Anolis sagrei: one gene and its partners. The protein of the gene in region 1 interacts with the protein of each later gene in a biochemical or structural test. Links are inferred from orthologs where the notes say so. Each region holds a gene or a part of one and is shown on either strand. Other genes may lie near its edges.

Region 1 (8,024 bases):
AAAGAAGAAATAATAAATTTTGCATATGAGGCCCTGTCCAGAAAAGTGGTTCTTGAAGGGCTGCTACTTTTCCTTCTGCCATACTGGCATCTGACCCAATGCAAAGCACCATCAACTAATAGCTAAGGAGATTTGGAAAGATCTGTTCAGCTTCAAAGTATTGGCCATGGGTATGTTCTAGAGCAGTACCCGTTAAGCTCTCTGATACATGGGAGTGGCAGGCTGTTTGTTTCCCAGTGTGCCAAAGACTAGCACTATATATAAGCCCATTGATTTTTTTTTCTTTCTTTCCTGGAACGTTTCTGTGGATTGACACAATTCCATAGACCACTGCTTTCAGTAGCTTTGTATTGGAAATTTTAACCATATTGACGAAAACTTGCTCAATAAGGTTCAGTTCTAGCTAGCACTTTTCATTCCTATAGGCTAGTTTTTTGTGAGTAAAACCTCTAATCTGAGCATACAATTTAGAGCTTCTCGCATGTCTGCAACAGAAAAGTCTCAATCACATCTTAAGCCAAGCATTTTATCTCAAAGGCATATAGCGTTTAAATACTTTAATGGCACCAGATTCTGTCTGATTCTGGAATCTACTTGTAAAATAAAGTAGAATCACCTCTAGTTACTACTTGGATGGGACAGCAGCAATAAATATTAGGCGCTGTAGGCTATATTTTAGGAGAAGGAACTGTCAAATGATGTCTGGATATTCCTTTCTTAAGAAAGCCCTGTGGGCTTGTTATTGAAACTATAACCCCAAAACCCACAACCAAGAGAGGTCTGACTAGATGGCCACGAAGGGTCCCACTGGCTGACATTAAAGGATAAACTTTACCACATTTACACACAGTTACACAAGCACTCCTGGAAGGGGGGGGGGGGGACGGACAGCCAGGGCTAATTTCATTACTCTTCCTGGTGGTTCAAACAATCACTTGGTGCTAATCCTTCCTGGCTAACATTGAACTCCACCTAACAATGGCCAGCCTGAAAGGTCAGCATGCTGTCTTTGTCTCTCCCTGGGTGTTTTGGCACCCATTATTTTCTATTGTGAGATCACTGACAGAATTAAAAACCATGAAAACTCATCAGTCCTGGACCTTGCCCACATTCCTTTCCTTTAAGCACCCAAAGGCGGACACGCAAAACAATCACAAGCTTCAAACTGGACAATAACAATTTAATTTCTGACAGACTGGGGAACTAGACTGAGGAACTAGTTAGACTGGGGAAGTAATCAGCTGCAGCAGCAGGCGGTGCTCCTCCACCAATCAGCACACAGATCGTAACCTATATCAATCAGCACCCGGAGCAGCAAAAGTCCATTATTTGAATTGCTGTCAAGTCTCTAATAAATGTTTCTTAGAGACATTTATGTATCTATGTATGTATCCATTGGCTTTATGTCTGATTTGGGAGCACTTCTTCCCTGACATCTACATTCGGCCAAAGTGAATAAACCTCTGGTTCTTGCCTTCACCCTGTTGAAGCAGAGCACGATTTTAGGGGGCCCTCCATGAGCAGAGGCTGGAGAGGACCCAAAAGGAGGGCTCAATAAGCCTGGGTAAACAATAAGCACCAACCAAACTTTCCCTATTTCCAAATAAATCTCACCAGGATGAAACAAGGCCACAGAAGTTTATTTTCTATTCCAGGTGGAAAGTAATCTGCCAAGAAGCCAACATGCTTTTTGGGCAGGCCAATACAGAATATATAGAACTGTCAAATCCAAATTTCCCACACCCACCCCGAGACAGCTTTGCTGTGATTGGCTCTGATGTCAGTGTAGAATATGGAAACAACATCTTTGTTTGGCCCCGAAGATCCAATCCATTATCAAAAGGTTCGGTGATATTGGTTTATTTGATAAGATCTTGGATCTTCTGGGACAGGGAATGGCTGTGACATCCCCTTCCCCTCATGGTTGGGGAAAATGTCCTTTGTGTCAAGTCATTACCATGTCCATGAGCTCCATACCTTAGGTGGTCTGGTCAAAAGACCTTCCGAAGCTCAAGGAAAAGGGGCTACTCACTCATTGTCCATGCATACCATAGGCCATGCACTTATTCAGTGGTTGTTTTGATGCTGCTGAATAGTAACTCTCCGCAAGATTCACTATGGTACTTGGGGCTGCTGGGAGTCCTTGTATGCCTTATTGTCTAATGCAGCACTGCTCCTTGTCATGGTCCAAAGGCAGGTGCTGGCTCACAAATTGCTAGGAAAGGAACAGCTGTAGTAAATGGGCACACATAAAATGCTAGTCCCTGGCTCACCTCAGACGGGTTAAGTAACACTTGTTTAATCTACCTCCTGGGAGTGTCAAGAGACCTAGATGTGACTAAACCCACTAATTTCAATAGATATTTCTTAGGCAACCAGGTGTCATCAATATTAATAACTGGCAACCTCTGATACATTAAAAATAGTGGTACAGGGAATTACACTTAACTTGATCTGCCAAACTAGCATTTTAATAACTTCTGAAGCTGGAGGAGGGTGGGTGAGTTACCTACAGAGAAAAGTATAATACTAAGCTTTCAATTAAAACACACACAAAAAGCAAACTGTCTTCAAAATGCAGTCCACATAAAGTCCAAATAGTTCAAATTGCTATCCAATTCAAAATATTATCCAAAGAAGAAGAGGTAGTCCCCCGAAAGAAGGCAACCTCAACCCGGGGATCCTTGTCACATTATAATTTATAATGTGACAGCAAGCATTATAATTTGGATAGTATTTTGAATTAGACAGCAATTCAAATGTCTTTTCTGGGGGACCCCTCCCCCCAGCACCAACTGCCGCTCTGGGCCAGAGTGAAGAGGGGGGGGGGGGGGCAGGGAACAGTTCCATCTTGTCTCCTGTGCTATGCTAATAATATAATGAAACGTAATATAATATATTGTATATATACATATAATATTTATAGTATTATAATGTAATACAATATAATAATAATATGATATTATAATTATATATTTTATATTACATGTAATATTACTAATAATATTACAATGTAATAGTATAGTACAATATAGTAATATATATAATAATAACACTTTATTTGTACCCCACTACCATCTCCCCAAGGGACTCGGTGCGGCTTACATGAGGCCGAGCCCACAATACAACAATAAACAATAATATCAACAATACAAAACAATAAATAAACTCATAAGCAAAAATAAACAATAAACATTAACAATAACACAACGTATTTAAAAACCTATGGCCCGGCCAAATTTAATAATTAAAAAATTAAAAAATAATGCTGAGCATGACAAGGTGACATGTAACTGGGATAGAAATTTTGGAGAGGGAAGAAATGTGCAGACAATCTTAAATCATTATTAAAGTGCGTTTAGGGACATATTGCTGGGAGTTTCCTTATTCTGGGAAGGCACACTGAAACAGCCACGTTTTCAGGCTCCTCCTAAAGACTGCCAGAGTTGGGGCTTGCCTAATGTCCTTGGGAAGTGAGTTCCAGAGTCGAGGGGCCACCACCGAGAAGGCTCTCTCCCTCGTCCCCACCAATCGCGCTTGCGATGGTGGTGGGAGCGTGAGCAGGGCCTCTCCAGAAGATCGAACAGATCGTGTGGGTTCGTACACAGAGATACGGTCACGCAGGTAGGCAGGTCGCAAACCGTTTAGGGCTTTGTAGATAAGCACCTGCACCTTGAATTGGGACCGGTAAATGAACGGCAGCCAATGGAGCTCCTTAAACAGGAGGGTTGACCACTCCCTGTAAGGAGCTCCAGTTAACAACCTGGCCGCCGCTCGTTGAACCAATTGAAATTACCGGGCCGTTTTCAAGGGTAGCCCCACGTAGAGTGCATTACAGTAGTCCAATCTGGAGGTGACCAGATCCGCCAATATGATACTGATATTGTACTATGCTAATAATATAATATATTGTATGTATATATATCTTGTAAACCTCTCTGAGTGTCCTTTCTGGGTGAGAAGGGCGGCATATAAATGTCGTAAATAAATAAATAATTTTCAGGCGCGGATGACTGAATCCGCGGATACACAAGGTCGCTTGCCATTAGCCGGATGCGCCTGCGCGCGCAGCTTTCCGACCTGCGTTGACTCTGGCCGCGCCCCACCAACAGGCCCTTCCCTTCCTGAGAACAGAACAGATGGGTCGCCTCTGGCTCAGACCACGCCCAGCTTTCGGCCTTGTTATTGCTTCCAGAAGGCTGTAGTGACAGCGATTGGCCAGTAGAGGCTGCGAGGGCACAAGCACGAACCAAACGTAACTTTCGGGGCTGGGAAGCCGGCGCATTCTTTGAATGGCCCTCCCCTTTTCAAGATTGGTATGCCCCGCTCCCTCGCGCTCTTCTTTCCCCGCCTCCAATCCCGCCCCTTCCATTGCACCTTTATGGGGGAGAGAGGCGAAAGAGAAGAAGGAAGGGACCTGCCGTGAAACGCCCTCAACGTCCGCCTTAACCCTGTGATTTGCCAGGGAAGAATGCGAAACGCGCTGGGATTGGCCAGGAGGCACGGCGTTTCGGTCCCGCCCATCGCTGACGGACAGGCCTGTCTGCGCGGGGCTGGAGTTGGCTTGAGGGACGGGCCCGGCGAGGAAACGGACGCGGGTAAGGAGAGGCGGCGGGGAGAACGGGGTCCAGGGGCAGGAAGGGGCCAAGACGGGTCTTTTGTAGACGGAAAGGCAGAGCTCAGGAGTCCCGGCTCCTCACGCTTCCCTCCCTCAAACCCGTAAGCTGCGTGCCTGTTCGCACATGCAGGAAACCCAGTCCCGGTTGCTTGGATACGACGACATTCGTGGGAAGGAGACCCCAGGAAGGCCTCCTTTAGTAGTCATGTTTTGCCCTGAGGGACTTCCACTTCGTTGGAGCCAAAGCCATGGTTGCTGGGTTCTTTGAATGAAGTTCTGCCTTGTCACAAAGTCACATGACACCCCCCCCCCCGCCCCAGTTGGAGTTTGTTTTCCTTTCTCTCACGCCTTTTCTTTGCCTTTCCCTCCCACTTTCAGGAAAGAGGGTTGGATGGAGTTTATAGTCCATGCTCGCACACATCACTGTCATGTATTGAAAGTTTTTGTTTATTTTATTACATGGGAAGTTTCCCTCTAGGACTAGAATTCCCAATCTTGGATCCTTCTGGTGTATTGCGACTCCCAGCATTCCTGGCTGGGAGATATCTGGGGTGTATCTACACCAAGGAATGAATGCAGTTTGACACCACTTTAACTGAAGTGGCTATTTATTTATTTACAGCATTTATATACCGCCTTTCTCATCTCTGGGGGGACTCAGAGTGTCTTTGGGCTCCTGGGAGCTGAAGCTTCACAAGGTCTTCTGCATTCTCTGTCAAAGAGCATTCATACCTCATCAAACTACAAACCCAGGATCCCATAGCATTGAGCCATAGTATTAAAGTGGTGGCAAGTGTATTACCTATATATACTCGAGTATAAGCTGACCCAAATATAAGCCAAGGCACCTGATTTTACCACAAAAACTGGGGAAACTTATTGACTGAAGTATAAGCCAAGGGCATTAAACTGCTGAGCCCCTGAACTTGCTGACCGAAAGGCTGGTTGTTCAAATCCAGGGAGCAGGGTAAGCTCCCTCTGTTAGGTCCTGCTACTGCCAACCTAGCAGTTCAAAAACATGCAAATGTGAGTGTATCAATAAGTACCACTTCTGCGGGAAGGTAACTGCGCGCCATGCAGTCATGCCGGCCACATGACCTTGGAGGCATCTATGGACAACGCTGGCTCTTTGTCTTAGAAATGGAGATGAGCACCACTCCCCAGAGTCAGACACGACTAGACTTGATGTCAGGGGAAACCTTTACCTTAAGCTAAGGGTGGGAAATGCAGCAGCCACTAGTAATTTTTTTTAAAAAGGTACAAATAAAATTACATTAATGGAGGCATCAGTAGGTTAAATGATTTTGAATACAGTATTTACATAAAACTGTAATTTAAGATAAGACTGTCCAACTCTGATTAAATCATTATTCTAACCTTATTCAATGTAAGTATGCTTACATATCCTTTTCAATAATCTCCGTAGTTTATTTTAACCATACATCTTGGGGAAAATGCTGTGTGTGTATGAATAAGGAAAAGAGGAAAAGACTGGTGCCAAGGGAGGAGGAGGGGAAGGCGCGTGCTGTGCCGAGAGAGGAGGAGAGGAAGGAGAGCTGGGTTGGTGTGCAGAGATGTGAGGGTCCTTTCAGCCCCATGCCTTCCCACTAGGACCTTCACCTGAGTATAAGCTGAGGGGGGCTTTGTCAACCTAAAAAAGGACTGAAAGACTAGGCTTATACTCGAGTATATACAGTAATTCAACAGTGTAGCTGCTCCCCCAGAGGACCAAAGTTTGGGAACCACTGGAGGATGTTTCCATATGTTTTATGGTCCTAGAGTTTTTAACAGGTAGGTCTTTTAGAGCAGACATGAGCAAACTTTGGCTCTCAAACTCCCATAATTCCAAATAGCCGGTAGACTGTTAGGAATTGTGGGAGTAGAAATCAAAACATCTGGAGGGCCAAATGTTTTTGAGTCTCCCCTTGTTCAAAATATATTTAGGTCTTTGACTGTTGCCTGTTTGCCTTGTTCTTCCTGGTACATGGTGTTTTGATGGCAGGTTTCCTCTTGGGATCTCCAGTGCAATGGGAGGGATAGTTCAGTCCTTACACTGACTTTGTTTTCCTTTTACTGTAGTGTAGGTATTGAGGGTAACCTGGTAGCAACACCCAAATGCCAAGCAACAAAGGAAGCATACTTTCCTGCTTGCTGTGTGCTATCTAATATCCTTCTACTGTGGCATTAGTGTTTTCATAGGGAGCTAAGAAACAAGGGAAAAAAATCACATGCCACTTGTATTAATCTGTTTGTTATTCTGCTTAGCCCTTTCCCCTCATTCTGCAGATACTCTGTGTTTTCTGGCACGTGTTTGGCTCTGTAAGGTGTGGTGTTGGGTATAACCAGATTTTTCTACTTAGTTTAGGTTTGCCTCGGGATTCATAGTTTGATACCCTTTTAAGTGCTATGGTATCCTAGGAGTTGTAGTTTGGTTAGGCTCCAACTCTCTTTGGCAGAGAAGGCTCAAGACCTTGTAAAACTACAACTTCCACAATTCCATTGCATTGAGCCATTTAAGTTACAGTCATGTCAGTCTGCATTAATTCTACAGTATAGCTCAGGCATGGGCAAACTTTGGCCCTACAGGTGTTTTGGACTTCAACTCCCACAATTCTGGGAGTTGAAGTCCAAAACACCTGGAGGGCCGAAGTTTGCCCATGCCTGGTATAAATACACCCAGTGTCAGAGAAAAATACACGAGGCCTAGTTGCTGTTGAACAATTGACCATTTGCTCTTCTTCAGCTGCTTCTCAGGGGTAATTTTTTTTTGTCTAAGCCCCTCCAGCATGCAATATTCTCCCACATCTACCCACTGCTTTTCAGAGATAAACTCAGCACTTGGCACATACCTAATATTTGGCAGGTTTCGTCTGTAGCCAAAGCTGTTTGAAACCTGAAAACTTGAGTTCAAATGCCAGTGATATGATGTTGGGCACTCTGAGACTTTCAGTGGCTGGTCTTTAAAAGTAAGCATGGTAATTTTTATTATTGAAAGCCCTATATGGTCTGAGTACACTTTTGTAGAGAAGTGTCACCTCTCATGATCTAGAATCATAGAATTGCAAGATACCACAAGAGCCATCCAGTCAAATACCTCCCTGCCATGTAGGAACACATAAACAAAGCCAAACCTCAGCTCTAGAACTTGTTTCCCTCCTGTTCTTGACAAATGAGTGTAGCTGTTAGAGAAAATAGCTCTTTAGTGTTGGCACCCTGTCTATGAATGGCTTTTTCAGAGAGTTCTGCTTTCTTCCACAATGTCATCTTAGGTCTTAAGGAGAAACCTTTATTCAGCTAAGTCTTTAAAAAAAGGTTATTCCTACCAGCCTTGTTTTGCTTTTGTGCACTGTTGTTGTGTTACATCTGGTTTCTAATTATTGTTTGTGTTTTACATTTTAATATATAC
Region 2 (7,747 bases), on another chromosome or scaffold:
TAGACTCTGGGGATTAGTGCTCATCTCCATTTCTAAGACGAAGAGCTGGTGTTGTCCATAGACACCTCCAAGATCATGTAGCCAGCATGACTTCATGGAGTGCCGTTATCTTCCTGCCAAGGCAATACCTATTGATCTATTCTCATCTGCATGTTTTTGAACTGCTAGTTTGGCAGAAGCTGGGACTAACAGCGGGAGCTCACCACGCTCCCCAGATTCAAACTGCCAACCTCTTGGTCAGCAAGTTCGGCAGCTCAGTGGCTTAACCTGCTGTGCCACCGGAAGCTCCTTTAGTCTGAATTATCAATATGCAAAGAGATCTTGCATACAATTTCCTAGATTTAAGTTCTTCTCCATCACATGTATGGAATGAAAGCAGTTTACTTCATATGATTTCCTAAGATTTAAGGGGCGGGGTTTTTTATAACACATATGGAGTGAAAGAAGTTGGACGCATACGCTTATGGATACTTATCCTTCATACATGGAGTGAGAGAAAGAATTTGGTAGCATAGGATTTTCCAGATTTAAGTCATCTTCATCACATGCATGGAGTGAGAGGAAGAAGTTGGTAGCCTACATTTGGGGGAATTAAAGATTTCAGGAGCCCCCAGTTGCACAGTGGGTTAAACCGCTGAGCTGCTGAACTTGCTGACCAAAAGGTCACAGGTTCATATCTGAGGAGCAGGATGAGCTCACACTGTTAGCCCCAGCTTCTGCCAACTTAGCAGTTCGAAAACATGCAAATGTGAGTAGATCAATAGATACTGCTCTGGTGTCAAAGTAATGGTACTCTATGCAGTCCTGCTGGCCACATGACCTTGGAGGTGTCTACTGACAACACCGGCTCTTCGGCTTTGAAATGGATATGAGCACCAACTCCCAGAGTCGGACATGACTGGATTTAATGTCAGGGGAAAACCTTTACCTTTATCCTAAATATTTCTTCATTATACACAATGAGAAAAAGAAGTTGGTGGCACAGAGGTCTTCTTTGGGCCCTTCCAGACAGGCCGTATAACCCAGGATCTGATTCCAGGTTTTCTGTTTATCCCAGATTATCTGGCAATGTGGACTCATATAATCCAGTTTAAAGCAGAAAACCTGGGATCAGATCCTGGGATATAGGGTTTGTCTGGAAGGGCCCTTTGTTGCATGTATGGAGAGGAAGAAATTCCTAACCTAGGCTTTCAGAAACTTAAATCATCATTACATGCATTTGGTGAAAGAATGAAGTTGGTAGTGTCAGCTTTTGGAGACTTTAAGCTTGTAAATTCCATGTATGGAGTGAGAAAAAGAAGCTGAGAACATACCCTTTTGTATTACTATATCTACTGCATCACATGCATGGAGTGAGAATAAGAAGCTAGTGGCATCACTTTGAAAGGTTTATGCTACCGACTTCTTCCTCTCACTCTCAAAGGCGGTATCAGATCCCTTTGCGTACAAAACTGATTGATAACATAACATGATTTTTGTTCCTGGGTTAGAAATGTCATTTCCTAACTGGTTCTATCATAAAAACACTGAAAAGGTTCTTTAAACTGCAAAAACTTTGTTGTTGTGAGACATCCTGTAGCACATTTTGCTTTAGCTTTTCAATCGAGACTCAACCGATTCAACATAATTTGTGGCAGCCACAAAAACAAAGTTTCTGGAGTATAACAACTACTTTCAAAGTACGCACCACACTGGAAATATTAACAGAAACTGTCAGAGCGTGTGGCGAGAGGGTTAATTCAGACACCTCACCTCTCCCTCGAGATCTTTAAACTACTATTTGAAAATTTCACATTACACACACACATTGCTCTAACAGAAACTGTGTTGTTGAAGGCTTTGATGGCCAGAATCACTGGGTTGCTGTGAGTTTTCTGGGCTATATGGCCATGTTCCAGAAGCATTCTCTCCTGACATTTCACCTACATCTATGGGAGGCATCCTCAGAGGTTGTGAGGTCTGTTGGAAACTAGGCAAGTGAGATTTATATATATATGTGTGTGTGTGGAATGTTCGGGGTGGGAGAAAGAACTTCTGTCTACTTGAGACAAGTGTGAATGTTGCAATTGGCCACCTTGATTAGCACTCAATAGCCACGCAGCTTCAAAGCCTGGCTGGCTGCTACCTGGGAGGGGTTCCTTTGTTGGGGGGTGTTAGCTGGCCCTGACTGATTCTTATCTAGAATTCCCCTGCTTTTTGAGTGTTGCTCTTTATTTACTGTCCTGATTTTAGAGTTTTAGATGTGGGTGCCTCTGGGGATGCCTGTCATAGATCTGGGCGAAATATCAAAAGAGAATGCTTCTGGAACATGGCCGGACAGCTCTGAAAACTCACAGCATATTTACTGTCCTGGTTTTAGAGTTTTAGGTGTGGATGCCTCTGGGGATGCCTGCCATAGATCTGGGCGAAATATCAGAAGAGAATGCTTCTGGAACATGGCCAGACAGCTCTGAAAACTCACAGCATATTTACTGTCCTGGTTTTAGAGTTTTAGGTATGGATGCCTCTGGGGATGCCTGCCATAGATCTGAGCGAAACATCAGGAGAGAATGCTTCTGGAACATGGCCACATAGCCCAGAAAACTCACAGCAACTCCCAAGAATAGGGATCCACTACCACCTATGAACCCACCACCAAGACACTAGACTTGGAGGATCATCATCATCATTGGGCAATGAGGGATAGCCTAAGAAAGCAACAGAAAATGTTTCATATTTTGATATAGATGATAGGTAGCATAACATATGTGTTTGTATGTAAGTGAACCTATTTCCCTTCCCTTCCCAATCCACTTTTTCCTCAAGGCTCCTTTGGCCGCAGAATTTGAGCTCAGTTTGAACTCCCCTCCATAAAGAGAGTGCCTGGTTGTATCTACACTGCAGAATGAATGCAGTTTGATCCCACTTTGCCTCTATGCTGTGAAGTCTTGGAGATGTAGCTTGGCGGGGCACCTGGAGCACCCTTTGGCAGAGACCTTGTCAAAAAAAACAACCCCCTGCCAGTGATCCAAGGCAGTTCAAATGGCATCAAACTACATCCATATGGGAAAGAAGACCCGCAAGGAAGGGAACCTGTTGCGCCTGGCTCTCCAGCTTGAAAGCGGACTGTCGAGGAAACTTTCCCACCCTTTCCCCGGTCCTGAAAGTGGGAGAAGAGCTCTGTACTGAGTCCAAAGCGTGTCCCTTGAGGGGGTGGGGGAAGCTTCTCTTACCTTGGCCCTGGGCTGGCCAGAAGAGGCAAGCGGCGAGGAAGAGGAGCACTCTCCACTCAGGGCCCGGGGCTCCCATCGGGGCTGCCGGGCTGATGCTGCTGCTGCTGCTGCTGCCCGGGAAGCGCTTCTCCTCTCTTTCTCTTTTCTCTTTTTTCTCTCTCTTCTTTCTCTCTTCCTCCTCCTCCTCCTCTTCCTCTGGGTCCCGCTACTTGGAGGAGAAAGGCGCGCTGCTCTTGAGCTGAGGCATCGCCTCCCCGCGACACTACTCCCAGCCTCCAGGCATTGCATAAAGCGCTTTATACCCGCCGGCCCCGGAACTAGCATGAGGTATGTGCACCTCCTTCTGCACTTTGCAACCCCCCTTCGGTCCCACTTCAGCCTCTGCCTTCTTTCCCCGCCGGAGAATCGGGCAGCACCCAACTCGAGGAAGACATCTTTCTCTCTCTTTCACACAGAGCTGACCGAGGCCACAAGGGTCATCCAGTCCAACCCCCTATCATGTCATGCAAAAAAAGAAAGAAAAGAAATCAGTGCAATGCAAAACGACAAGGCTGTTAGGAATGGTGGAAGTTCAAAACCAAATCCAAACCCAAAGTTTTTCCAGGCCTGATTTATCAACATTTCCCAAATGATCCCCATGGGTGGCTGAGGCCTCATCTTGAAAGTGCATTAGATGGTTCCTGTAGGGCAGGTATGGGCAAACTTTGACCCTTCAGGTGTTTTGGATTTCAACTCCCACCATTCCTAACAGCTGGAGAGCCAAAGTTTGTCCATGCCTGCTGTAGGCTCACATAATGCAGATTAATTAATTAGAAGGAGCCCCCGGTGGCGCAGTGGGTTAAACCCCTGTGCCGGCAGGACTGAAGACCGACAGGTCACAGGTTTGAATCCGGGGAGAGACGGATGAGCTCCCTCTATCAGCTCCAGCTCCTCATGCGGGGACATGAGAGAAGCCTCCCACAAGGATGATAAAACAGACATCCGGGCATTCCCTGGGCAATGTCCTTGCAGACAGCCAATTCTCTCACAACAGAAGCGACTTGCAGTTTCTCAGGTTGCTCCTGACACGACAAAAAAAAATTAATTAGAATCATATACAGTGTTCCCTCACTTATTGCGGGGGTTCCGTTTCAGGACCCCCGCAATAAGTGAAAATCCGCAAAGTAGGGACGTCACATTAATTTTAATATTTACACATTACAAGCTGTTCTCGCCACGCATTGCTGTGGCCAACTTTCTTCTTTCGCTCCTTTTTTTCTCTCATTCCTTCCCTCCCTCCCTCCTGCCTTCCTTCCCTTTTTTTTCTCTTTCCTTCTCTCCTTCCTTCTCTTCCTCTTCCCTTCCTCCCCCCCCCCCCACTTTTGCTTTCCCTTCCTCTTTCTCCCCTTTCTTCCTTCTCTACCTATTCTTGGACTGCAACTCCCAGCAGTCCTCCTGATCAATCTACCTACCTACCTATCTCCATCTAATCCAGTGGTTCCCAACCTGTGGTTCCCCAGGTGTTTTGGCCTACAACTCTCAGAAATCCCAGCCAGTTCACCAGCTGTTAGGATTTCTGGGAGTTAAAGGCCAAAACATCTGGGGACCCACAGGTTGAGAACCACTGATCTAATCTATCTATCTTATCTATCTGGAGGATTGCTGTGAGTTGCAGTCCAGGAATAGGGATAGGAAATTGGAAATATGCAGGGACTGGGATGCTCTCAAAGACATCTAAGGAGAAGAAAGCTTGCAGCTTGGAAGTAGTGCATTTGGATCATCCTCCTCTCCTAAAGGGCCTGGTCTAGGGGATGCTGGGAGCAGTAGTCCGGAAGAGAGTGTGGATATGCTATTGTGTGTTTTGTTTGCCCAGGGGAAGTCGTTTATGCACTTGTGCTGTAGCATCTTTTTGCTTTTTTGGCTTTTAACATCCCTTCCACTGTGTTTTTCAGTGTTTCTATGAATTATGGTCACTCATTGGCCTAATATGTGTATTGTGTCCAAATTTGGTGTCAATTTCTCCAGTGGTTTTTGAGTTATGTTAATTCCACAAACAAACATTACATTTTTATTTATATAGATTTTATATTTTTATATATATATATATATATATATATATATATATATATATACACATACACCTGCACTTCCTTACCCGTCTCCCATCCCATCCCAAGGGCGCGTGCCTGCCTCCCTGGCCTCCACAGACCCCTGCAGAGCCTCCAGAGCCATGCAGGCAACAGCAGGCCAGGGAGGCAGACCTTCCCTGCCATGCCTCAGGCTGCCACACTTCCAAGGTCCCTGGTCTCCACTGGACGTAAATATTTTATAATTTATATTAATATTTTCAAAAATCCACAAAACAGTGAGTCCGCTAAAAGCGAACCGTGAAGTAGCGAGGGAACACTGAGTTGGAAGAGATCTCACATGCCATTGAGTCCAACCCCATTCTGCCAAGAAGCAGAAAAACGTAATCAAAGCACCCTGACAGATAGCTGTCCAGACTCTGCAAAGAAGAAGCCTCCAGCACAGTCCAGGGCAGAGAGTTCCACTGCTGAACAGCTCTCACAGTCAGGAATTTATTCCTCATGATCAGGTGGAATCTCCTTTTCCTGTAATATGAACCCATTGCTTCAAATCCTAGTTTCCAGGTCAGCAGAAAACAATGCTATATGACTTCCCCTCACATATTTATACATGGCCATCATGTCTCTCTCGCTGCATTGATCTGCATTAGATCAGCTGTCACCGACCATATAATGAAGTTTCAGATTACATTACAGTGCAGATGGGGCCTGAGATAGTAACACCTTTGCTTTCTGATGGTTCAGTCTAGGCAAACTTGGATCTACACATTTTAGATGTGGAGCAACCTGTAATTTTTAACTGACTTGACTATGGAGGCTCCAACACACTATAACATGAATCCACAGGGATGCACCTACATTGTAGAATATAATGCATTTTTACACCACGTTGACTGTCAAGGTAAAAGGTTGGCGGTTTGAATCTGGGGAGTGGGGTAAACCCCACTGTTAGGCCCAGCTTCTGCCAACCTAGCAGTTCGAAAACATGCAAACGTGAGTAGATCAATAGGTACCACTTCGGCGGGAAGGTAATGGCACGCCATGCAGTTATGCCGGCCACATGACCTTGGAGGCGTCTACGGACAATGCCAGCTCTTCAGCTTAGAATGAAGATGAACACTACCTCCCAGAGTCAGACACTACTAGATTTAATTATAAGGAGAAACATTTACCTTTTTAAAACTGTCAAACCTCAATGCTGTGGAATCATGGGAGTTGTGGTTTTGCAAGCCTTCTCTGTTAAAGGGTGCAGCACTCTTTGGCATAGAAGGCTAAAGATCTTGTAAAACTACAGCTCTCGTGATTCCATATCACTGAGCCCTAGCAGTCACAAGTAGTGTCACTTCTACAGTGGAGATGCGTTCTAGAAATTCTCTCCTGCTGTTTTTGTTGGAAAATTATTGCCAACCAAGGCCCCTTCCACACAGCTGAATAAAATCGCACATTTTCTGCTTCAAACTGGGCTATATGGCAATGTGGACTCAGATAACCCAGTTCAAAGCAGAAATTGTGGGATTTTCTGTCTTGATATTCAGGAATATAAGGCTGTGTGGAAGGGCTCTTAGATGCCTGAACAGAAAGGCAGTAGCAAAATGCTAGGTGGTTGTTGTTGCCTTGCCTGTGTAACAGGTGGGATTGGAAGGTTGTGACATACAATATAAAAAGGACCTCTGAGGGCAAGACACTTATTTCTCTGCCGTTTTCTAACAGAGGATAGCAATGGCCATCCTTGTAATATTGTGATAATGACCAATATAATGTATATGAAGAGCTTTAAATACTCTAAAGCCTGAAACAAGTTTGTAGTATTATTAAAGCTCCTATCTCAATGGACGCACACCCATGTTTCCAAAATGTATGCAATTATGTAATTATCCAATTTTATTCCTCTGCGTCACTGACGACCTCTTACATATTTACAAACCAATTGTATTATTCCCAGTCTGCCTTAGAGTGACCTATGCTATTTACATCGCTCTCTCCCTTTTACCTTCATTCTTGTCCAAACAGGTGTTGATGTGGAAGCAGCACCTCCCTGTTGCTGGGATTGTAGACCTTGGATGTGCTCCTGTTCTCTCCCACTCCCCTGAAATGTAACCCAAAGTCTCCTTCACTGTACTAATAATATAATATAATATAATATATATTTTATATACATATAATATTTACTGTATAATGTTATAATAGAATACAGTATAATACTAATAATATATTATAACTATATATTTTATATTACATTTAATATTACTAATAATATTACAGTACACTGTTATAGTACAATATAGTAATATGTAATACTAATATTGTGCTATGGTCATAATATAATATATTGTATTTACATATTACTTGTAAGCCGCTCTGAGACCCTTCAGGGTGAGATGGGTGGCATATAAATGTTGTAAATAGGGAGGGAGGGAGGAATAAGGGAGGGAAGAAGAAAAGGAGGAAGAAAAGGAAGGAAGGAGGATG
Region 3 (8,660 bases), on another chromosome or scaffold:
CCGGCCCAACCCCACCAGTATTCAAATTTAGGAGTATTGGTTATTTGTGCCAAATTTGGTCCAGTGAATGAAAATACATCCTGCAAATCAGATATTTACATTGCGATTCATAACAGTAGCAAAATCACAGTCATGAAGTAGCAATTAAAATAATTTCATGGTTGGGGGTCACCACCACATGACAAACTGCATTAGGAAGGTTGAAAAACACGATATTGTTGAATGCATCTGGAACATGGCCATACAGCCGAGAAAATTCACACTGGGCCCTTCCACACACTGGGTTGTTGTGAGTTTTCCGGGCTGCCCTTCCACACAGTCCTATATCGCAGAAAATCCCACAATATCTGCTTGGAACTGGGGGCTCTTCCACACAGCCTTATATCCCAGGAATATCAAGGCAAAAAATCTCACAATATCGGCTTTGGACTGGATTATCTGAGTCCACACTCAGATAACGTGGGATTTCCTGCCTTGATATTCTGGGATAAAGGGCTGTGTGGAAGAGTTCTGCGTTATCTGAGTCCACACTCAGATAATGTGAGATTTCCTGTCTTGATATTCCAGTATATAGGGCTGTGTGGAAGGGCCCTGCATTATCTGAGTACACACTCATGTAATGTGGAATTTCCTGCTTTGATATTCTGGGCTATAGGACTGTGTGGAAGGGTTCTGTGTTATCTCTCCACACGCTGATAATGTGGGATTTTCCGCCTTGATATCCTGTGTGGAAGGGTCCTGCGTTATCTGAGTCCACACTCAGATAATGTGGGATTTCCTGCCTTGATATTCCAGGATATAAGGCTGTTCTGCATTATTTGAGTCCTCACTCAGATAATGTAGGATTTCCTGCCTTGATATTCCAGGATATAAGGCTGTTCTGCATTATCTGAGGCCTCACTCAGATAATGTAGGATTTTCTGCCTTGATATTCCGGGATATAGGGCTATGTGGAAGGGCCCTACGTTATCTCAATCCATACTCTGATAATATGAAATTTCCTGCCTTGATATCCTGTGTGGAAGGGTCCTGCATTATCTCAGTCCACAATCAGATAATGTGGAATTTCCTGACTTGATATTCCAGTATATAGGGCTGTGTGGAAGGGCCCTGCGTTATCTGAGTACACACTCATGTAATGTGGGATTTCCTGCTTTGATATTCTGGGATATAGGGCTGTGTAGAAGAGCCCTGTGTTATCTGTCGACACGCTGATAATGTGGGATTTTCTGTCTTGATATCCTGTGAGGAAGGGTCCTGCGTTATCTGAGTCCACACTCAGATAATGTGGGATTTCCTGCCTTGATATTCCAGGATATAGGGCTGTGTGGAAGGGGCCTGGATTATCTGAGTCCTCACTCAGATAATGTGGGATTTCCTGCCTTGATACCCTGTGTGGAAGGGTCCTGCATTATCTCAGTCCACATTCAGATAATGTGGGATTTTCTGCCTTGATATTCCGAGATATAGGGCTGTGTGGAAGAGTCCTACATTATCTCAGTCCACACTCAGATAATGTGGGATTTCCTGCCTTGATATTCCAGAATCTAAGGCTGTGTGGAAGGGCCCTGTGTTATCTCAGTCCACACTCAGATAATGTGGAATTTCCTGCCTTGATATCCTGGGAGATAAGGCTGTGTGGAAGGGTTCTGTGTTATCTGAGTCCACACTCAGATAATGTGGGATTTTCTGCCTTGATATCCTGGGAGATAAGGCTGTGTGGAAGGGCCCTGCGTTAGCTCAGTCCACACTCAGATAATGTGGGATTTCCTGCCTTGATATTCCAGGATATAAGGCTGTTCTGCGTTATCTGAGTCCTCACTCAGATAATGTAGGATTTTCTGCCTCAATATTCCGGGATATAGGGCTGTGTGGAAGGGCCCTGCGTTCTCTCAGTCCATACTCAGATAATGTGGGATTTCCTGCCATGATATCCTGTGTGGAAGGGTCCTGCGTTATCTGAGTACATACTCAGATAATGTGGGATTTCCTGCCTTGATATTCCAGGATAGAGGGCTGTGTGGAAGGCCCTACTGTTGTAAAGAGATGGATTTGCAAGACCAAAACTCCTGCGACTGGCCTTGTGAAGCCTCAGGCAGCCTTTGATCTGGTGGGTCCCCAGGTATTGCCCTCCAAGAGGCAAGGAAAGGAAGCCACCTGAATAAAAGGTTTGGGGTACAAGAAAGGTGACCCTTCAAGAGGAAGAAACTGGTTGCCCTGATGGGGTTCCTCCCAAAGGGATCTTAATGGCACTCAACGCCTTGCTCTGCCATCGCCCCAAACATCTCTCTCCTTTTTGCCTTGAGCCTCTTTGGCCAAACCTGGCACATGGCTCTCATTAGGAGCCAGCCTTGCAGACCATGGCATGCCTTCTTCCTACCTGGTAGGAACCTCAGGAAGAAGAGAAGGAGGGGGGTTCAAGGGGAGACCCCAAACCCAGGTCTTCCTCTCCCATTCCACGCCAGCAAGCTCTCCCTCCCTGTTTCCCCTCTATTGCAATCCGGCCGCACACTTGATGCATTCACCCGACAACACGCGCCTGCCTTTCCCTTCCTAAATTTAATACATTTGTGAATATATCTCTCCTTTGCAAGACTGTTTCTCCTTCGGCCCCTTCTCCCCTTCCCCTCGGCTTTGCCAAAGGGCCCAGGTCCCTTCCCAAGATACAGATGTAGCCAAACCTCATCCAAAAAGGAGAGGAAAAGCAGGAGAAGCAGCACAGGAAACTGAGGAAAAGGCGAGGGAGCCTCAGCCAGGTTGGATCCGATTTCACTCCCAAGGAAACACCTCCCTCCCCCCCCTCACCCCCCTCCCTTTTGCCCAATCCTGGGCAGAGTTGCCCTCTCCAATGGAGGTCCCTTTTGGCAAAGGCACTCAACCCAAACTCAGGGGGTTTTGGGGACTCACGTTTGGTGCATCCGAGATCCCTGCCGCACATCCGTCCCTTTTTCCCTTTCCAATCCCCTATTTTTTTCCTCCGCCGCCTCTTCTTTTTTAGCTCCCTTTTTGGGGAGGAAGAAGGGGTGCCAAGGGAGGAGGAAGAGGTGGAGGTGGGGAAGCCACTTGGAGAGAGAGGAAAAAAAATCAAAAAAAGGGGAAGAAAAATACTGGCTGGCAGGGTCTCTCCACTGCGCAGGCGTCCCCCAGCCCCGGCGATTGACTTCCGAAAGCAAAGGGCTGTTTTTTTGCACTTCCTTGCCTGCTCCGCTTTATTTATTTATATTTGGCAGGATCTGGGCGAGAAGGGGGGAAAAAAGGAGAAGGTCTTCCTTCTGCCCACCTCCGCTTGGCTGCTTTCCTCGGCCTTTCCCCGGTTGCAAGGCAATCCCAGGCGGGGAAAAAAAAAAAAAAAGAGAAGATGAGCCTTCATGCAGCTTGCAACAGCAGCCCAGAGGAGTCCAAGGAGGGGAAACACACTCACCTCTGCAATGCATCTCCTGACAGATTTTCTGTAGAATCAAAGAGTTGGAAGAGAGGCTGGATGGCCATCTGTCAGGGGTGATTTGAATGCAATATTCCTGCTTCATGGCAGGCTGGATGGCCATCTGTCAGGGGTGGTTTGAATGCAATATTCCTGCTTCTTGGCAGAATGGGGTTGGACTGGATGGCCCATGAGGTCTCTTCCAACTCTTTGATTCTATGATTCTATGAGACCTCGTGGGCCATCCAGTCCAACCCCATTCTGCCAAGAAGAAGGAAAATTGCGTTCAAAATACCCCCGACAGATGGCCATCCAGCCTCTGCTTAAAAGCCTCCAAAGAAGGAGCCTCCACCACACTCTGGGGTAGAGAGTTCCACTTCTCAACAGCTCTCACAGTCAGAAAGTTCTTCCTAATGTTCAGTAGTTTGTAGTTTGAAGCCATTAGAATCATAGAATCAAAGAGTTGGAAGAGACCTCATGGGCCATCCAGTCCAACCCCATTCTATTGGATTCAAAGCACCCCTGACAGATGGCCATCCAGCCTCTGTTTAAAAGCCTCCAAAGAAGGAGCCTCCACCACACTCCGGGGCAGAGAGTTCCACTGCTGAACAGCTCTCACAGTCAGGAAGTTCTTCCTCATGTTCAGATGGAATCTCCTCTCTTGTAGTTTGAAGCCATTGTTCCTTGTCCTAGTCTCCATGGAAGCAGTAAACAAGCTTGCTCCCTCCTCCCTGTGGCTTCCTCTCACATATTTATACATGGCTATCATATCTCCTCTCAGCCTTCTCTTCTTCAGGCTAAACATGCCGAGCTCCTTAAGCTGCTCCTCATAGGGCTTGTTCTCCAGACCCTTGATCATTTTAGTCGCTCTCCTCTGGACACATTCCAGCTTGTCAATATCTCTCTTGGATTGTGGTGCCCAGAATTGGACACAATATTCCAGGTGTGGTCTAACCAAAGCAGAATAGAGCATGGGGAGCACAACTTCCATGTTGCAACAAATAAGGTATAGGGTTTGCTCTCTAGAAGCCCAAGAAGGGTTTGGCTTGTTTCCTTATCCATACCTTGTATTTCATAGAATCATAGAATCAAAGAGTTGGAAGAGACCTCGTGGGCCATCCAGTCCAACCCCATTCTGCCAAGAAGCAGGAATATTGCATTCAAATCACCCCTGACAGATGGCCATCCAGCCCCTGTTTAAAAGCTTCCAAAGAAGGAGCCTCCACCACACTCTGAGACAGAGAGTTCCACTGCTGAACAGCTCTCACAGTCAGAAAGTTCTTCCTAATGTTCAGGTGGAATCGCCTTTTTTGTAGTTTGAAGCCATTGTTCCGTGTCCTAGTCTCCAGGGCAGCAGAAAACAAGCTTGCTCCCTCCTCCCTATGACTTTCTCTCACATATTTATACATGGCTATCATGTCTCCTCTCAGCCTTCTCTTCTTCTGGCTAAACATTCTCAGCTCTTTAAGCCACTCCTCATAGGGATCTTTAAGCCACTCCTCATAGGGCTGTTTAAAAGCTTCCAAAGAAGGAGCCTCCACCACACTCCAGGGCAGAGAGTTCCACTGCTGAACGGCTCTCACAGTCAGAAAGTTCTTCCTAATGTTCAGGTGACATCTCCTTCCTTGTAGTTTGAAGCCATTGTTCCGTGTCCTAGTCTCCAGGGCAGCAGAAAACAAGCTTGCTCCCTCCTCCCTGTGACTTCCTCTCACTTATTTATACATGGCTATTATGTCTAAAATGTGGAGGCCATGACAGACTGTATTTCTAGGTGCAAAGATTACTGCAGATGCAGAATGTAGCCTGGAAATCAGAAGACACTTACTTCTTGGGAGGAGAGCAATGTCCAATCTCAATAAAATAGTGAAGAGTGGAGACATCAGACTGGCAACGAAGATCCGCCTAGTCAAAGCCATGGTATTCCCTGTAGTCACCTACGGATGTGAGAGCTGGACCTTAGGGAAGGCTGAGCGAAGGAAGATCGATGCTTTTGAACTATGGTGCTGGAGGAAAGTTCTGAGAGTGCCTTGGACTGCGAGAAGATCCAACCAGTCCATCCTCCAGGAAATAAAGCCCGACTGCTCACTGGAGGGAAGGATACTAGAGACAAAGTTGAGGTCCTTTGGCCACATCATGAGGAGACAGGAAAGCCTAGAGAAGGGAATGATGCTGGGGAAAGTGGAAGGCAAAAGGAAGAGGGGCCGACCAAGGGCAAGATGGATGGATGGCATCCTTGAAGTGACTGGACTGACCTTGAAGGAGCTGGGGGTGGTGATGTCCGACAGGGAGCTCTGCCGTGGGCTGGTCCATGAGGTCACGAAGAGTCGGAGACGACTGAACGAATGAACAACAACAATCATGTCTCCTCTCAGCCTTCTCTTCTGCAGGCTAAACATGCCCAGCTCTTTAAGCCGCTCCTCATAGGGCTTGTTCTCCAGACCCTTGATCATTTTAGTCGCCCTCCTCTGGACACATTCCATCTTATCAGCATCTTCCTTCAAATGGGTTTTCCCCCTTCCAAAACAGATTTCTTCTTGCAAAAGCAATATGAATGTCCGACATGCCAACAACCTGGGGCCTCCTGCCTAGTGGAACCATCCCTACAGAAACAATACACTTCTGGAATGAATGAATGAATGAATGATGGGTCTACAATACCCGAAAGGCAGCAGATCCCATCTGATCTTGGAGGCTGAGTCCTCTTCCACACAGCTGTATAAAATCCACATTGAATTGGATTATATGGCAATCTGTACTCAGATAATCCAGCTCAAAGCAGATATTGTGGATTATTTGCCTTGATGTTCTGGGTTATATGGTTGTGTAGAAGGGCTCTTAGCCTTAGATGGAAGACTAAGGATCATTTTAGTCGCCCTCCTCGACACATTGCAACTTGTCAACATCTCCCTTCAATAATGGTGCCCAGAAGTGGACGCAATATTCCAGATGTGGTCTAACCTTGTCTTCCTTCCTTCCTTCCCTTCCCCTTCCCCTTCCTGCCTCCCTCCCTCCCTCCCTCCCTTCCCCCCTCCCTCCCTCCCTTCCCCCCTTATCTCTCCATGGGAAGTTACTCCTGCATGGCCAGGCACTTTCCCTCTGCCGTTTGGACTTGCTTCTGAGTTGTCTTGGATCTTAATCTTGGATCAAGGATGGAGAACCCTTTTCATACCTAGTTGGGAGAGCTGCTGGGCTTTTGAGATTGTACAAGAACATCCGGTATATAAAAGACCGGTATATAAAAGTTCTAAATAAATAAATAAATAAATTTCCATTTCTAAGCTGAAGAGCCGGCGTTGTCCATAGACACCTCCAAGGTCATGTTGGCTGGTATGACTGCATGGAGCACAATTACCTTCCCGCAGACGGTACCTATTGATCTACTCACATTTGCATGTTTTCAAACTGCTAGGTTGGCAGGAGCTGGGGCTAACAGCGGGAGTTCACACCGCTCCCCGGATTCAAACTTGTAACCTTTCGATCACAAAGTTCAGCAACTCAGCACTTTAACCCATTTTGCCACTGAGGGCTCCTAGAGGTATATATGGCTTTCCCATCTTCGGCATCTTGGAGGTTGTGCTCGATTCTGGCCACAGGGGGTGCTCTTGCTCCATCCAATATGCCAAAGAGCCCTGTCCACAGACTTCCTCCTTTGATTGAATAGCCTGCATTTCATATATATATATATTTCCTTATGGTGCCATGTAATATACCTTCCAAATTAAGCGGTACCTATTTATCTACTTGGGCCCCCTTGGTGATGCAGCGGGTTAAACCACTTAGCTGCTGAACTTGCTGACCAAAAAGTGTGCGGTTCACATCCGGAGAGCGGAGTGAACTCTCACTGTTAGGCCCAGTTTCTGCCAACCTAGCCGTTTGAACACATGCAAATGTGAGCAGATCAATAGTTACCGCTTCTGCGAGAAGGCTACGGTGCTTCATGCAGTCATGCTGGCCACATGACCTTGGAGGTATCTATGAACAATGCAGGCTCTTTGGCTTAGAAATGGAATTGAGCACCATCCCCAGAGTCAGACACGACTAGACTGTATGCCAGGGGAAACCTTTACCTTTTTATTTATCTACTCAGAGTTTTTTTTTATCTGCTAGGTGGGCAGTGAGCTGAGCTGAAGGTCACGCTTCAAACTGCCAACCTTTCAATTGGCAAGATTTATTTCAGCTGTGGGTTAACCTACTGTGCTAAATGAGCATGTGAAGTGTGCTTTTTCCACGGAAGAGTCTTTAGGGAAAATTCTGCATGGCAATATTTGTGGGGGGGGGGGGGGGGGAGTGAAATGCACAATTGGCAGAAGATTGGATTGGATAGCCCTTGTGGATGGCCCACAGCTATGATTCTGTGATAGAATGAGTGACACCTGGCTTGAAAACAGTCCATTTGAAAGGAATCTAGGAGTCGATGTAGATTCTAAACATGTCAACAGTATGATGCGGTAGCTAAAAAAGCCAATGTGATTTTAGGCTGCATCGATAATATAATGTCCTGTCCAGATTGAGGGAAGTACAGGCCGACTCTATTCCACCTCAATCATGCCTCACTGGGAATAACGGGGCGAATTACAGAACACATATACAGCAAATATTTAATGTTGCTATACAATTGACAAGGACAGACCATACATAAACAGAGCTTTTCCCATCTTTTTCCATCTCTTGCATCTGGAGGCTGTGCTCGACTCAGGCCACAGGAAGGTGCTGTCGCTCCATCTTCCATGCCAAGGAGCTTTGTTGTCTGTAGATGACCTTTCAATCAAATTGTTGGCATGTCCTTATGGGTACGTTGTATTACCTTCCCCTTTTAAACCGGTACTTATTTATCTATATTGCTGTTTTCTATCTGCTAGGTGAGCAGAAGCTGGGCTGACAGCTAGGAGCTCATCCTGACCCAGGCTCAAGCTGTCAACCTTTCAGTTGGCAAGATTTCTTGCAGCTGGTGGTTAACCTGTTGCGCTAAAGCCCGGACAAAATAGTCCAAGGTTTGCAAACCAAGCCCTATGAGAAACAGTTGAGGGAGCTGGTTTTCTTGGAGAAGAGAAGGGCAAGATCTTTAAATATTTGAAAGGATCTCACATTGAGGAGGGGGCAAGCTTTTTTCTTCTGCTCTGGAGACTTGGATACAATGGAGTAATGGATTCAAATTGAGGGGAAAGGGATTCCATCTAAACATTAGGGAGATCTTCCTGACTGTAAGAGCTGTTCAGAGCTGCCTGAAAGTGTGGCAGCA

Evidence for each region.
Region 2: the proteins of GIPC1 (region 1) and LRP2 form a complex in vitro, tested with the Homo sapiens proteins (2 studies listed by BioGRID). The link is inferred for Anolis sagrei from reciprocal best matches to the Homo sapiens genes GIPC1 and LRP2.
Region 3: the proteins of GIPC1 (region 1) and RGS19 form a complex in vitro, tested with the Homo sapiens proteins (2 studies listed by BioGRID). The link is inferred for Anolis sagrei from reciprocal best matches to the Homo sapiens genes GIPC1 and RGS19.

What each region holds. Positions count from the first base shown.
Region 1 is NC_090022.1:128,028,001-128,036,024, forward strand, and holds the start of GIPC1 (PDZ domain-containing protein GIPC1), read left to right. Parts: upstream 1-4,494; 5' UTR 4,495-4,598; intron 4,599-8,024. UniProt on the Homo sapiens protein: May be involved in G protein-linked signaling.
Region 2 is NC_090021.1:195,060,738-195,068,484, reverse strand, and holds the start of LRP2 (low-density lipoprotein receptor-related protein 2), read right to left. Parts: upstream 3,345-7,747; 5' UTR 3,289-3,344; coding exon 3,213-3,288; intron 1-3,212. UniProt on the Homo sapiens protein: Multiligand endocytic receptor. Acts together with CUBN to mediate endocytosis of high-density lipoproteins. Mediates receptor-mediated uptake of polybasic drugs such as aprotinin, aminoglycosides and polymyxin B.
Region 3 is NC_090024.1:237,535,713-237,544,372, reverse strand, and holds the start of RGS19 (regulator of G-protein signaling 19), read right to left. Parts: upstream 3,285-8,660; 5' UTR 2,908-3,284; intron 1-2,907. UniProt on the Homo sapiens protein: Inhibits signal transduction by increasing the GTPase activity of G protein alpha subunits thereby driving them into their inactive GDP-bound form. Binds to G-alpha subfamily 1 members, with the order G(i)a3 > G(i)a1 > G(o)a >> G(z)a/G(i)a2.